Linked DNA regions of Drosophila melanogaster. The protein of the gene in region 2 interacts with the protein of the main gene of each other region in a pairwise test. Each region holds a gene or a part of one and is shown on either strand. Other genes may lie near its edges.

The links. The genes of interacting proteins can lie anywhere in the genome.
Region 1: the proteins of CG6425 (region 2) and CG3713 interact in a two-hybrid assay, tested with the Drosophila melanogaster proteins (one large-scale study listed by BioGRID).

The regions. Positions count from the first base shown.
Region 1 is NC_004354.4:844,614-849,884, forward strand, and holds CG3713 (uncharacterized protein), read right to left. Parts: upstream 2,545-5,271; 5' UTR 2,491-2,544; coding exon 2,239-2,490; 3' UTR 1,558-2,238; downstream 1-1,557. Other genes in the region: CG14635 (uncharacterized protein), read left to right, coding at 224-583.
Region 2 is NT_033777.3:26,712,494-26,719,035, reverse strand, and holds CG6425 (uncharacterized protein), read left to right. Parts: upstream 1-1,646; 5' UTR 1,647-1,771; coding exon 1,772-1,838; intron 1,839-1,897; coding exon 1,898-2,920; intron 2,921-2,985; coding exon 2,986-3,017; 3' UTR 3,018-3,871; downstream 3,872-6,542. Other genes in the region: Yif1 (Yip1-interacting factor 1), read right to left, coding at 1-114, 170-708, 1,010-1,058; amon (amontillado), read left to right, coding at 5,313-5,525.

The DNA.
Region 1 (5,271 bases), on a different chromosome or scaffold from region 2:
AGAATCTAACTGCATATCCAATCAAATGTGAAGTACAAGTACCGTCTAAAATTTCCAACATTGTTAGGAAGTGTTTTTATTTGTTCGCTTGGTCGCTTGGTAATGACTAAGTCTACTTAGTGTACTAATTGGCTGAGCCATTCCCTTTGCCAAAAACAGCTGCATAGCTGCACGATTATAAATAGGGTGGAACCACCGACAAACTCGCCCAGAAGCAACAAATATGTGCTCTAGTTTAAGCGACTTGTTTGCCTGTATCAGGGCCCAGGGAAATTCCGACACGGATTCCACCAGCACCACCCATCGGCGGAATATCGCTGACCTGGACGATGAGGCGCCCGATCTGCAGCTCCAACAGGAGCAGACCCGCAAGTGGAACGATCTTTCTATGCCACAGCGACACGATTCGTTTCCAGTTCCTCCTCCTTCAGCTGGATCTCCATCAACGGGCTACCTTCGTCCCTCATTGCGGTCAGCACGGGTCTCCTACGAAGCCTTGGAGCGCTACGATCGAATTTTTGGCAGATCTTTCCAAGACGCCGGGTCATCTGGTTCAGTTCGAAATATTCCCGACCAGTTCTAGGCGGAAATTGTTTGGGATTTCGGCATTGACATTAAACATGTGATCCCGCATATTCCGCTAAAAGTCGAACACAATAAATACATTTTACACATTTTCCTGACTTGACTATATGGACAATTTACTTGCATGCGATGGCTGGCTGGTGTTCGGCGCTGCGACGAAACTTGGCCAAACCATTGGATTAAACATAAAGCTGAAAAGGCAGAAAGTTCGGTTCGACTTGCGTGCGTGAAAGATTGCGAAGGTTTTACCGGATTTGGCCGTCCTCATCCGTACACCTGTTTAATCAGGGGCGTTCTGGCCTGCCAATTGGCGACTTAATTGGAAGGAAATGAAGCGGCGGCCTAAAGCAGAAAACATTTGGCATTAATTGCTGGTGGTGTGCCAAGGGGGGTTGGGGAGGGGGTCCACTTTCCTTCAGACACTTCAGACTTAAACACACAAGTTTTACAAATGTGGCACGCAGTCGCAACAAGAACGGAAACGGAAAATGTTATTTCGCAGCCACGAATGCAATTCCAGCAAACAAATGGCTCACAATGGGTGAAGTAAACCCCCGAAGCCACTACTGCCAAAGGAGGTGACTTTGCCCATTAGTCGGTTTAGGTGTCGTTTGCCGCTCTGCTGAAAGTTTCCAGCGAATGTCGCACTAAAAGTTGTCTTTCTCGCGATTGCGATACAGATGTGAATATATAGGAGGTCTTAAAGGGTGGGTGGACAATGCTGCAAGGAGCATGGAAGCAGATCTTGATGGGCTGCAGTAGCTGTGTCTTATCCGACTCGGAATTGCTTTGGAAGAAACGAGTTCACACTGACTGTATGCTACGACCGGAAGAAGAGCCCAATTGATAGGTCAACAATGAAACAGTGCAACTGCAAACTTGCTTTAGAAACGTATTACTCTGTGGTCTGCGCGTCGTATACGTAATGCGACCTACCGCCCCACAAAACGAAATAAAACATTTTAACAGTTTACAAACAATATTTTCATATTTATACTCATTTCCATCAGTACTCGTAGAGTAAATAAGTCAATAACAAACTTTAATACAGACTATAAGGTATCCGATAGTTGGCACACGACTACGAGTAGTTTCTATTGTTTGGAAAACTGTGCCTGGTTCTTTGGTGCTCCCAATCGAATCCAAACATTTACCATATGTGCGTGCATATACATTTTTAAACTTTTGCACACATAACATGATACACTCAAGTAATCCTATCCCATTTGAAGCTAACGTACACAGCCTTTGTCAGATTCGTTTAACCCTCTCCTGTCCATCGATGACCTGTAGATTGGTTAGGTTATTACGCCCATTTTTATTGGCTTTCAATTCGGATGCCAGTTGTCTCCTCATTTGGTTTGTGTTTTGATTGCAAAAAGTTAATTAAAATTTTGTTGTAATTGAATTTTATTGCATTGTTTGTTTGCATTTTGTTTTGTTCAGTTTTTTTTTTTTTGCTTTGTGCGGAGCTTTGTTTGAGTTTGTCGAGTTTTTCTATTTTTTGCCGTCTGTTTTGTTGTCTGGCCATTATGCCATTTGTTGTCATTTGGTTTTTGCCTTTGGTCTTAATTGGATTATGGCAAAAAGAGTTTTAATTAAACCAAATGAAGCGGAGTGCGGAATGCCAGTGAGTGGCAAGCTTTTTTTGAATCAGATGATGGTTTCCGGCAGCCTGGGATCATCATAACCATCGACGAAGCCTTCGAAGCTATCATCGCACTCCTGGTCGGCAGCCAATGGATTGCGGATGAGTTCAAAGGTCAGTGGCGGCAGCGGCGGCAGTTCGACCTTTACCACTTTCGGCGCTGCTTCTTCATTCGCGGAAGTCGATGGGAATTCCATCATACAGTCGTCCCCGCAGCGTCGGCAGTACAGCAGATCCACCAAGAAGCCCAGAAACATCCCCACCTCTGATTATGCGGTGCTCGCCCGACAGCTGATTTCGCAGCACTGACGATATCGGAGGCCCACCTACTACTATACTACCCTACTACTTCTACAGCCCCAGGCATCCACGCGTTCACAAATCCGCGCTCCAAGCCCCACGCCCCACAATCCACAGCACAGCTGCGTCCACAGCAGAATTCGAAAATGGATGGATTACAGACTCGCTCGTTTTCCGGTAAATCCATCGTCATCGGTGTAAAAAGCAAATGACAAAATTAATTAAAATTAAAATTAAATGTCGCTTGTTTGGCGTTGATTAAGGAGTGCGATCATGCATTATGCATAGCACATTATATCGTATTCACTGCATCGGCATTACGTAATCCACTGTCCACACACACACGCGCGCGCATTTATGCACTTATGCATTTATGTTTGTTGCTGTATAGAATGCACATTATAATTACATTTATGCGCGGCCATCAAATTCAATGGGACTAAAGCATTTGCATAGCGTCTGCACGCCCTGTTTACTCATTAAAGTCGAATTGCGAGGTGGCTTCCGTTCCACAAAAACAAAAAAAAAAAACACTTTTGAGCCCTCTGCAGGGAATACTACTATTTAATACCAAGCATTATTTAGACCAACATAATTGGGGATTTAACGTGAATAAAGTTTCGATTCTACATGGTGCTGTTACTACCCTGATCAGTTCAATGCATTTCTGCTCTGTCCTACTCACTCACTCGCTGTCTGCTGCAACGAAAAATTCAATTTGGCCAGAAAGAAGAGCTTAAAAAAAATGAATAAGAGTGAGAAATTTGCAATCTTTTAATCACACTTACTCACTAGCTCTGTCCCTCTCCTCCCTGGCTCTCTGCGCCTCTCTCCATCCCGCTCTGTGATTTTAATTATGCTTAACAAGCTGAGAAAGAAGCAGCAGCTGCGGCTGAGGAAAATAAATGAAGGCCATTGCTTGCCATCCGCAGGTCCTTTGAGGACTCCCGCTCCACATTTCACACTTTATGGTCCCCATTTGTTAATATTAAGTTGGTTGCTTTATTAAAGGTATTATGATGTCGGAATGTGACTAATTAAACGCACTCGGTCCATTTTTCCATTTTTTTCTTATGCTGATCTTACCCTAGATCTATGCTGCCCTTTGGGCATTGTTTGTTTATATGTTGGATTTTGCTATAGCTCTTCCTATTCTGCCGTCATTCGCCTTTCGAACTTTTTATTGTGTCAGTTAAGAAATATAACGCGGAAAATGCAAATTGGTCACAAATAGCTTATTTATGCGAAAAAGCCTAGAGCGCAAGCAAAAGACAGAAAGTAGGCCAATCATGCCACAGTCAAATTCATGTCAACCGCATGAAGGCCAGGCCCATACGCACCGACATCCTCTCCACACCACTCTCCTTTTTTTTTTTTGGGCTTTGGGTCAAGTGGAAAGAAGAACAAGCACGACAAGAATAACCACAACATGAAAAACTAGGTTAACATGGGTTAAGGTGTGTCATTAACTTGCCACAAACACACATGGGAGGCCTGGGCCGGCATTGAGTTTGCCCCACGGCACTGCACTGCGCGTTTCCCCTCTCCCATTCACCATTCACCATTCCCATTCCCGCAATTTCCATTTTCTCTTTAACCTATCCCCCACATGCATGCAGTGAGAAAAATCAGGTCCAGCAAGGACTACATGTTTTTGTTACTCTGCGTATGCTTAATGTCTTAGCAAAAGGCCCATTTTCCAACAGAGAACGCTGGAGTCGAGTTCCCCGACTATCAGATACCCATTACTCCACCTTAAACCCAAATGGGAGTACAAGCAGCACAGCGCCTATTTCCACAGTTTCACGCGAAAGTAATAATAATACAATTTTGAGCTTCCTTTGCAAGTGTTTTGCCTGCGGAGCCATTAGAGGGGCGTTTTACCACTGCTGCCGACGACTTCTCATTACGTCTAATGTGCCAAGGGCGACTGCTGCACCTGCGCCGGCACTTGCAGCATCCCCGCCTGGCTGAACTAATTAGCAGCTAGGCAAAGTCGAAGGCAGCTCAGCTTAGAGCGGCAAAGTTCTTGCTCTCGGTCGCCATCGAAATTGACACAAATTGGCACAGGGCGAATACATCAGGGCAATCAGATTAGACGATGTCGTCGTCATCACGTCATGTGCGTTGTGTTTTCCCAGTGCGCCTCATTTTCCAGCCCCCTCTCGTTCGCCGACAACTTCGTTTTTTCGCTCCATAGGTAAAAGCTGAGGAGGAAGCCACAGGAGCCACACAGCGATTTTGCAGCTGCTTTCAATCATGACGCACGGATTAGGACTCAGGTTAAAGATTAACAATGCCAAACAAGAGCGACAGACAAGGCGGGTTCCTCGTCTGTCAGGCAATGGAGGTTTGCTCACGTCACGCCCACTATTAGTTAGAGCGCTCCTGATGAATGGAATGGTTTGGATTGGATTCGCTTGGCTTGGATGCGACCATGGAGTGGAAGGAAACGTAAGATAAGATAAGCTGATTGTGAACAGCAAGTGCACCGAAGATGTAACAGAAGCCAGATTAGTCAAGAGAAGACTGACTTGAGGGGAAGCGGCATCCTTGGATATAAGTTAACGTTATGCGAGAAACAGGTTGGCTGCTGGCAAGTATACCCAGCTTGGTTTAGAGTCATAATATAGACATTAAAAACATCTTCTTTTCCCCCCATCTAAGTGAAATCCCTGATCAACGCGCTTTGAAATAAACGCCTCTCAAGTTGAGTGCAAAGGGAGAGTGTGATGACC
Region 2 (6,542 bases):
ACCCGCTACGATCACGTATGTGATGTAGCCCATGGTGGGCAGATAGAGATCTGGCGCATTAACATCATATCGTGGTTGCACTGGGTGCTCTTGGTCGTAGCGCAGGGACCAATCCTGAAAGGAGTATGTAATTTATATGGTTTCTCCGTTTGTGCTTCACCACTCTCACCTTATGCATATAGGGGAAAAACAGAAGGCGCAACTTCCTGCCCACGTAGGCGTTGTCCACTGCGAAGTAGTACTTGAGCTTGGCTACGGGCACCCACTTCTCGAACTGATTCTCCATGATCTGCTTGCCCTGATCCGCTAGTTTCTGACCGTACTGCATAGCCATGTCTTGCACGATGGGCTGCTGGAACATGGCGAACTGTGGGTACTGTCCAGTGGGTGGAGCTACAGGCTGAGGTGCTCCTATTCCGTAGGTGGGTGGCCCAGCCGCCTGTTGGGGAGGTGGTGCTCCATATCCGTATCCGGGCTGCTGTTGTGGTGGCTGCTGAATGTGCTGCGAGGGCTGGCCGAGATTGGGGTCGAAGCCATAGCTGTTGACCGGGGCCGGAGCAGGTGCTCCGTACATATTGGGATCTAGTATTCCGGGGCCGGTGGGCGGGGCCATGAAGGTGGCGCCACCGCCCATCATCGGAGCCGAGGGTCCCATGGCGTTAACATCACTCACACGCTTCGGCGGCCTTGGGCGACCGGCAGCTGAGGCTATTTTGGGACAGAGCAACCATTAGTTAGTGCCGGAGGATCTAAACGATACAACTGGGAAGCGGGGAACACAGGCACTCAAGCTACACACGCATCACGGAACGGAAACGCACAGCAGGCATAGAAACTGGGGAGCAGGATGCAGTGGAAGCCAGGAGCGGCGCACAAAACGGGGTAACGTGTAACGTAAACAGTGACAGCACTCCGGATTCCGATTCCGGTCAGCGGCGGGTGGGGAAATTCCGGAGTGGCTGCACCGGACATCCTTCAGGTATACTTGCTTGCGTAGCCTGATCCTTACAGTTCTCCCACTTACGGTTCCGCATACCCGGATTTGGATTGTAGTTCATCTTTCTGGATCAGTAAATTGTATTCAAAATTTCGCTTTTTAACACATCACCATAAGCATTTTGTTGTGTGACCGGAGTTTAGTGTTGCCAAATACCAAAGCATGACCGCCTACCAGAATGTTTGCACTCCGATAGATAAAATACTAAAAGTTACAAAAAAAAATTATAGATATCTTTGTTTTTTTTTTTTTTTGTATTATATTTTGTATATTTGTACATTTCTCTATTTTTATAACGTTTACTCCGTAAGTTTACTTATATGTAAATTTATACACTATTTTATTTATACACTAAACTTTCTTTAAGACAATTTCCTATTGTTCATCTTATTGCGATATATGGATTTATGTGCCAATGGATGTCTCAGTACTCAAATAACTGATTTCTTGCATTGGTGGTAACAGAAATATCATCAAGTCAGCCATTATATAAAAGAACATATGTAGATGAAAATTTAAATTGATTGTATTTTAAAGATAAAATATTTTCATAGATTTTGGAGAGTGGATTTTTTTATTAAACTATGCGTTTAAGTGGAAAAGGGCTATAAACAAAACGAGTTGAATAGCAGAGTGACCATGTGAGTTTTGACAGTGCCATCTGGCAACACTGTCGGCTTACTTTAATTTTTAGCGCATTCCGCAGCGCAAAACAAAACAAATTTGATTAGTTAAATAATTGACTGCAGTTCACTTTATTGTTAAGTCAAAGTTATGGAGAACGCACTTAAACGGCGATCTTTAACGCTCAGCACGCGTCTGCTGCATAAGCGCCACAGTGGTAAGGATTTCCAAGCTCGAAAAATCAGGAATATCCATAAAACAATCCTTTGTTAATAGCTTCACCACAGAGCGTACGCACAGGGCACAATGTAAGTGTATCCGTGGACACTCCCGGCTCGCCCAACTCCTCAGCAGTAGTGGGAATCACGTCCGACCTGGAGAGCACTCCACCACACAAACACAAGCCCAGCTTGGACGACAGTGTGGACTTCTCGCCCCGTTTGGACATCAGCCTTTCGCCCAGCTGCCTCTTCTCCCAGACACTGGCCACCGAAAGTCCGGAGGTGGGCTGGCGCTGGAACCGAAGCAGCAATGCCACCACGGACAGTGGCTTCGACTCCGCGGAAATAGGCAGTTTGAGCCAGCGCGAACGACGCCGGCAGATAGCCTTTAAGGGCGTCGAGGATAGACGCAGCCAACTGGACAATGAGCAGTGGCGGGCACAGCAGATGCGGGCTAATGTTCTTCTTAAGGAGCGCTGTGCTAGGCTCAATAGCCAGTTGGAGCAAATAGCTGTGTCCGAACCAGTAATGCCACTAAAAACTCCTAAAGCTCCGTCACCTGTTGCTCCCCGCACAAGATTAACCTGCACGAAGGCTACGCCAGAGCCAGTGCTTTCCCCTGTAGCTGCCTCCGATCCAATGGCAGACTTCCTCAACGACTCGGAGACGGATCTCTTCCTGCTTGAGGCCTCCCAGCAACTGGAGTCGAAAATAGAACACCATGAACCTCCCAAATCAAGCACAAGCACCACACCCACTAGGCACCACACGGCAAAGCGACCCTCCTTCTACATGAAATTTCTGGAAGACGAAAGCGAGGGCGAGGACTGGCTAAACGCCCTAGAAGAGGCAGTGCAGCAGGCCACAATGCCGAAGAAGCCGCGCACCTCGCTGCAGCGCTACAAATCAATGCCAACCACAGGGGATTCGTGCAGCGGAGTGTCCACCCTGACCAATGTGACGGCCAATTCAAATGCCTGCACAAGTGCCTCCTCCGCATCTGGTTCAGAGCTAAGGGATACTCCGCGCATCAAACGGCACGCCAGTTCGCACGCTCTGTCCCCAGCCACATCGCATGGTAAGTGCCAGAGTGAAGTCAAACATTTCTAGACCAAAGCAAACTCATCATTTCGTTCCCTGCAGCGCGCGGCAAACTCTTTGGCAGCCGGAAATGAAACCCGATTAGGTAACCAGCCCCTGAATACAATCAGCTTCCCTTCAGCGAGTACCAATTGTGATGAGCAAAGTTAGAGTTTAAGATATTTCGTTTTGTTTCGCTTGACTTGCGTGCCCCCTTGCCTGAGCATTCTGTATACGAGTACGCTAATTGATTAATGCAGCTCCAAAGCGTCTTTGAAAATGTTAATTTAAGCCTAATTAAAAATTAATTGTAATTTAAAGCAGGACCCTTAATATTCGCATCGAAGGCCTGTGCGTTCGTTCGGCGCATGCGACTCGCCATATGTTCGGCATTATCGGGCCGCGAACGCGCCGCCCACCAGTACCACCAGTACAGGTGGCAGGACGCAGACGGACAGGTGGATACGACTGGTCGCCGACAGGCAGTGAATTGACGTCCCCCGGTTGAGCTTTCATTCACGGATAGGAAGCTCGTTGAGTGCGACAGCGTTTTAAATTAATTGAAATGTAGGCGAAGGATTTCTGTTTTAATATTCAGACTATGGTTATATATAGGTCAGTTGGATTTCTTCGCGTCTTTGAGTTGCTTGAGAAGCAGCTGATAAACCCAACAAAATTAGTATTTAATTACACGTTACCTAAGTACGCCAATTCCTCATCATCTTCGATTGTTTCAATGAATATTTCGTTTTCTTTTTTCCACTATTGATAAACCTGTTTAATATATTATTAAGCCTAATGTAAATGCTTACATTGTGCTGGTTTTTTATATATGTATGAAACATTCAAGACCCAAGCCTTAATAATTTAGTGTATACAAAAGTATTTCTTATTTTTCGTTTATATTACATAAGTTGTATTGAAAAACAAATAAAAACTGCAACTTATTTATCTCTTGAGTTATTTTTCCGGCAACCAATCAAGCAAACATTACCCAATGTTAATTTATGTGGAGTTCATAAAATTAAATTTAAAATGCAATGAGGAGTCTAAGAAGGGATTTCCCTGGAAAACAGAATTTATGGCAAATGAAATCAAAGTGTGTGAATCCCATCTCGCACTTAAAACTCGGGAGGAGGCAACAATCAAGTCGGCATGAAAAGCCGGCGAAAGTTGCCCCAGCTGTCTTCACTTTTCGCTTGGCCTGCAGTTTAAAGGCTTGGGTGCTCGAGGCTTTATGAACCTATTTGGGCTAAGGTCAAAGTTGAAGCCCTTTCGCAGCCATTACGCGTAAGAGGCAATTGCGCCCATGTTTATGAATAGTCCTCCTCCAGTCGTCAGTAGTCCCTTCGCCATTCGAACCGCAGGAGCAAGTGACTCCATTCAGCCGAATCGTGCCATTCAGCCGAAAGTCAGCGAAAGTCAAGTATGCTGCCATATGTTTACGGAGCGCAGCATAAACCAATGACAAAACACTAGCTACAACTTAGCACGGAATGGTGGGTGGCTAATGGCAGCGGGCGTCCAAACTGGTGACGTCTGCGGGCAGCCAAAGCCGCTGCAGAAGCCAAGCCAACCGAGATGGAAAGCCTGAGTCGGTGGGAAAAGCCATAGCAAAAGCTTATCCAACGCAGCTGAGCAGCAGTAGGCGAGCAGGGGCGTAGTCGGGTGGATTATGGGGGATTAAGCTTATCTGTGTGATATGTATATTACTTACTTTACCATGATAGCGTACTTCTAGTTTTGCTAGCGTACTTCTAGTTTTGTAAGCCTAACAGTAGTAGCCCCTTGGAACATTCCTGTGCACGCCACTGGCGAAGCTGGTAAGACAACGGTATCTCCGCTAGGGGTGCGTCGAGTGAGTGGCGGGTGGCTTATCGCCTGCTAGTCGGAGCTTTCGAGCGAGCTTCGGCGGCGAAGCTTTTGCCACCGCTTTGGCGCCTGGCGGACATTCATAATGGCGTCCGTCGGTACCGCTGGCGAACAGTACTCAGCGCGCAGCGCCCCAGTGAAGTTCGTGGCAGCGCACAAAGACTCCAGACGAAGTACATAGAAACAGAATTTCAGGCGGAAGGAAAGCACAACAAGCTCCATAGAAGGGGCCAAAAATACACAATAAAGAAAACAAATTGCAACCACAACAAGAGGATATTTTGCCAACCGAGCAACTTGATCCTGGCTACCCAATTCGCGTCGCCAATTCGCAGAGTGTGCAGTGGAGCGCGTCCTTTATTTTCGTCAGCACTTCGGTATCCTGCCAACGGAAAAAAATCACCCAAAGGACGCCCCACGCACCAACTGTTTGTACGGGCTGCCAGAGTTGCCCCATCGCCGCCAGGAGTCAGAGGCCAGGAGGAACCCGCAGGACCAAGGCGTCCAATCTGAATTCCATGGCAGCAGCCACATGGAGCTGGCTGTTGGCCCCATTCCTGCTCCTCCACTGGGCCAGTGCAGGAGCGGGCGGAGGAGCAGGCGGCTCGGGAGCGGGACTGAGCGGCCCCGCCGTCTTTACCAGCTCCTTCCTGGTGCGCTTCCGGCGCGGAGTGGACAACTCGTTTGCCCATGATGTGGCCGACAAGTACGGCTTCGACAACCTAGGCCCGGTAAGTGGAATGTGCGAAAAATCAATTATTATATTGCCGACGGCCGGCTTGGTGGCTCGCTTCTTTTGGGCCAAGTTGTTAGCGTTTCTGGCTGACATGCTGCACTTGTCGGGCGCGTGTCAGGCGTTAATTGCGATTGCTCGAGGGGTCTGGGTGTCCTAGTGCTCGAGTGTGTGTGTGGATACCAGGAGCGTGCTCGGAATGCCAAAGGCAGCTTTTGGCCAGCTGGCGAGCGGCAAAGTTTTTGGGGCTTGTGGCATTGGCCAACTTCCGTCGGCAGAGCGAAGTTTCCGCTGCATACCGCCAGGCGCAAATTTGCGCATTGCATGCTAAAGACCCATTGCATTCGAGCCAAGGTCAACGTGGCGAAAATAAACTTGCCCACACACGGGGGTAAATAACATCATAATAGGTCAGTAATTTGCACTCGAATCGCTTCTGTCTGCGGCACTTTGACCTGTCATTCCAACGATTTTCTGCCCAGATTATGTCGAGTTTCAAATGAAAAAGTGTAAATAGAATGGAATCAATTCGCTACGGATCAATGATGCATGTATAATCATTTCCAAAGTATTGCTTCTTGTATGTTTGCTTATCATACAAACTATTCGTTGCGAAATCATTCCTGTTGTAATTCCATGTGCAACGTCAGTATGGACTTTCACTTTCTGCAATCCTGACAGCCCTGCGATTCGCATCGAGAAACCCTCTTATGGGTTTGTCATCCGTCAACGTAATGCGTAACCATTGCCCAATTCTGTCAGCACTTGACAGCTATGACGCGCACTTGTTGCACACGCACTCGGATTAGGTCAATAACTCACTCGAGGATTTCAGGATTAATGCGAATTCAAGAGCTGGAACGGACGCAATTAATTAGGGGCATCAATAACAACTAGAGAGCGGTAGATGGGCATGGGGGAGGGACTACAAAAAGCTGGCGCTAAATCCAATTAACTCTCCTATTCCTTGGAAATCCGATATCCAGTCGTCACCTGAGGCCCCGGCTCGCTGTTC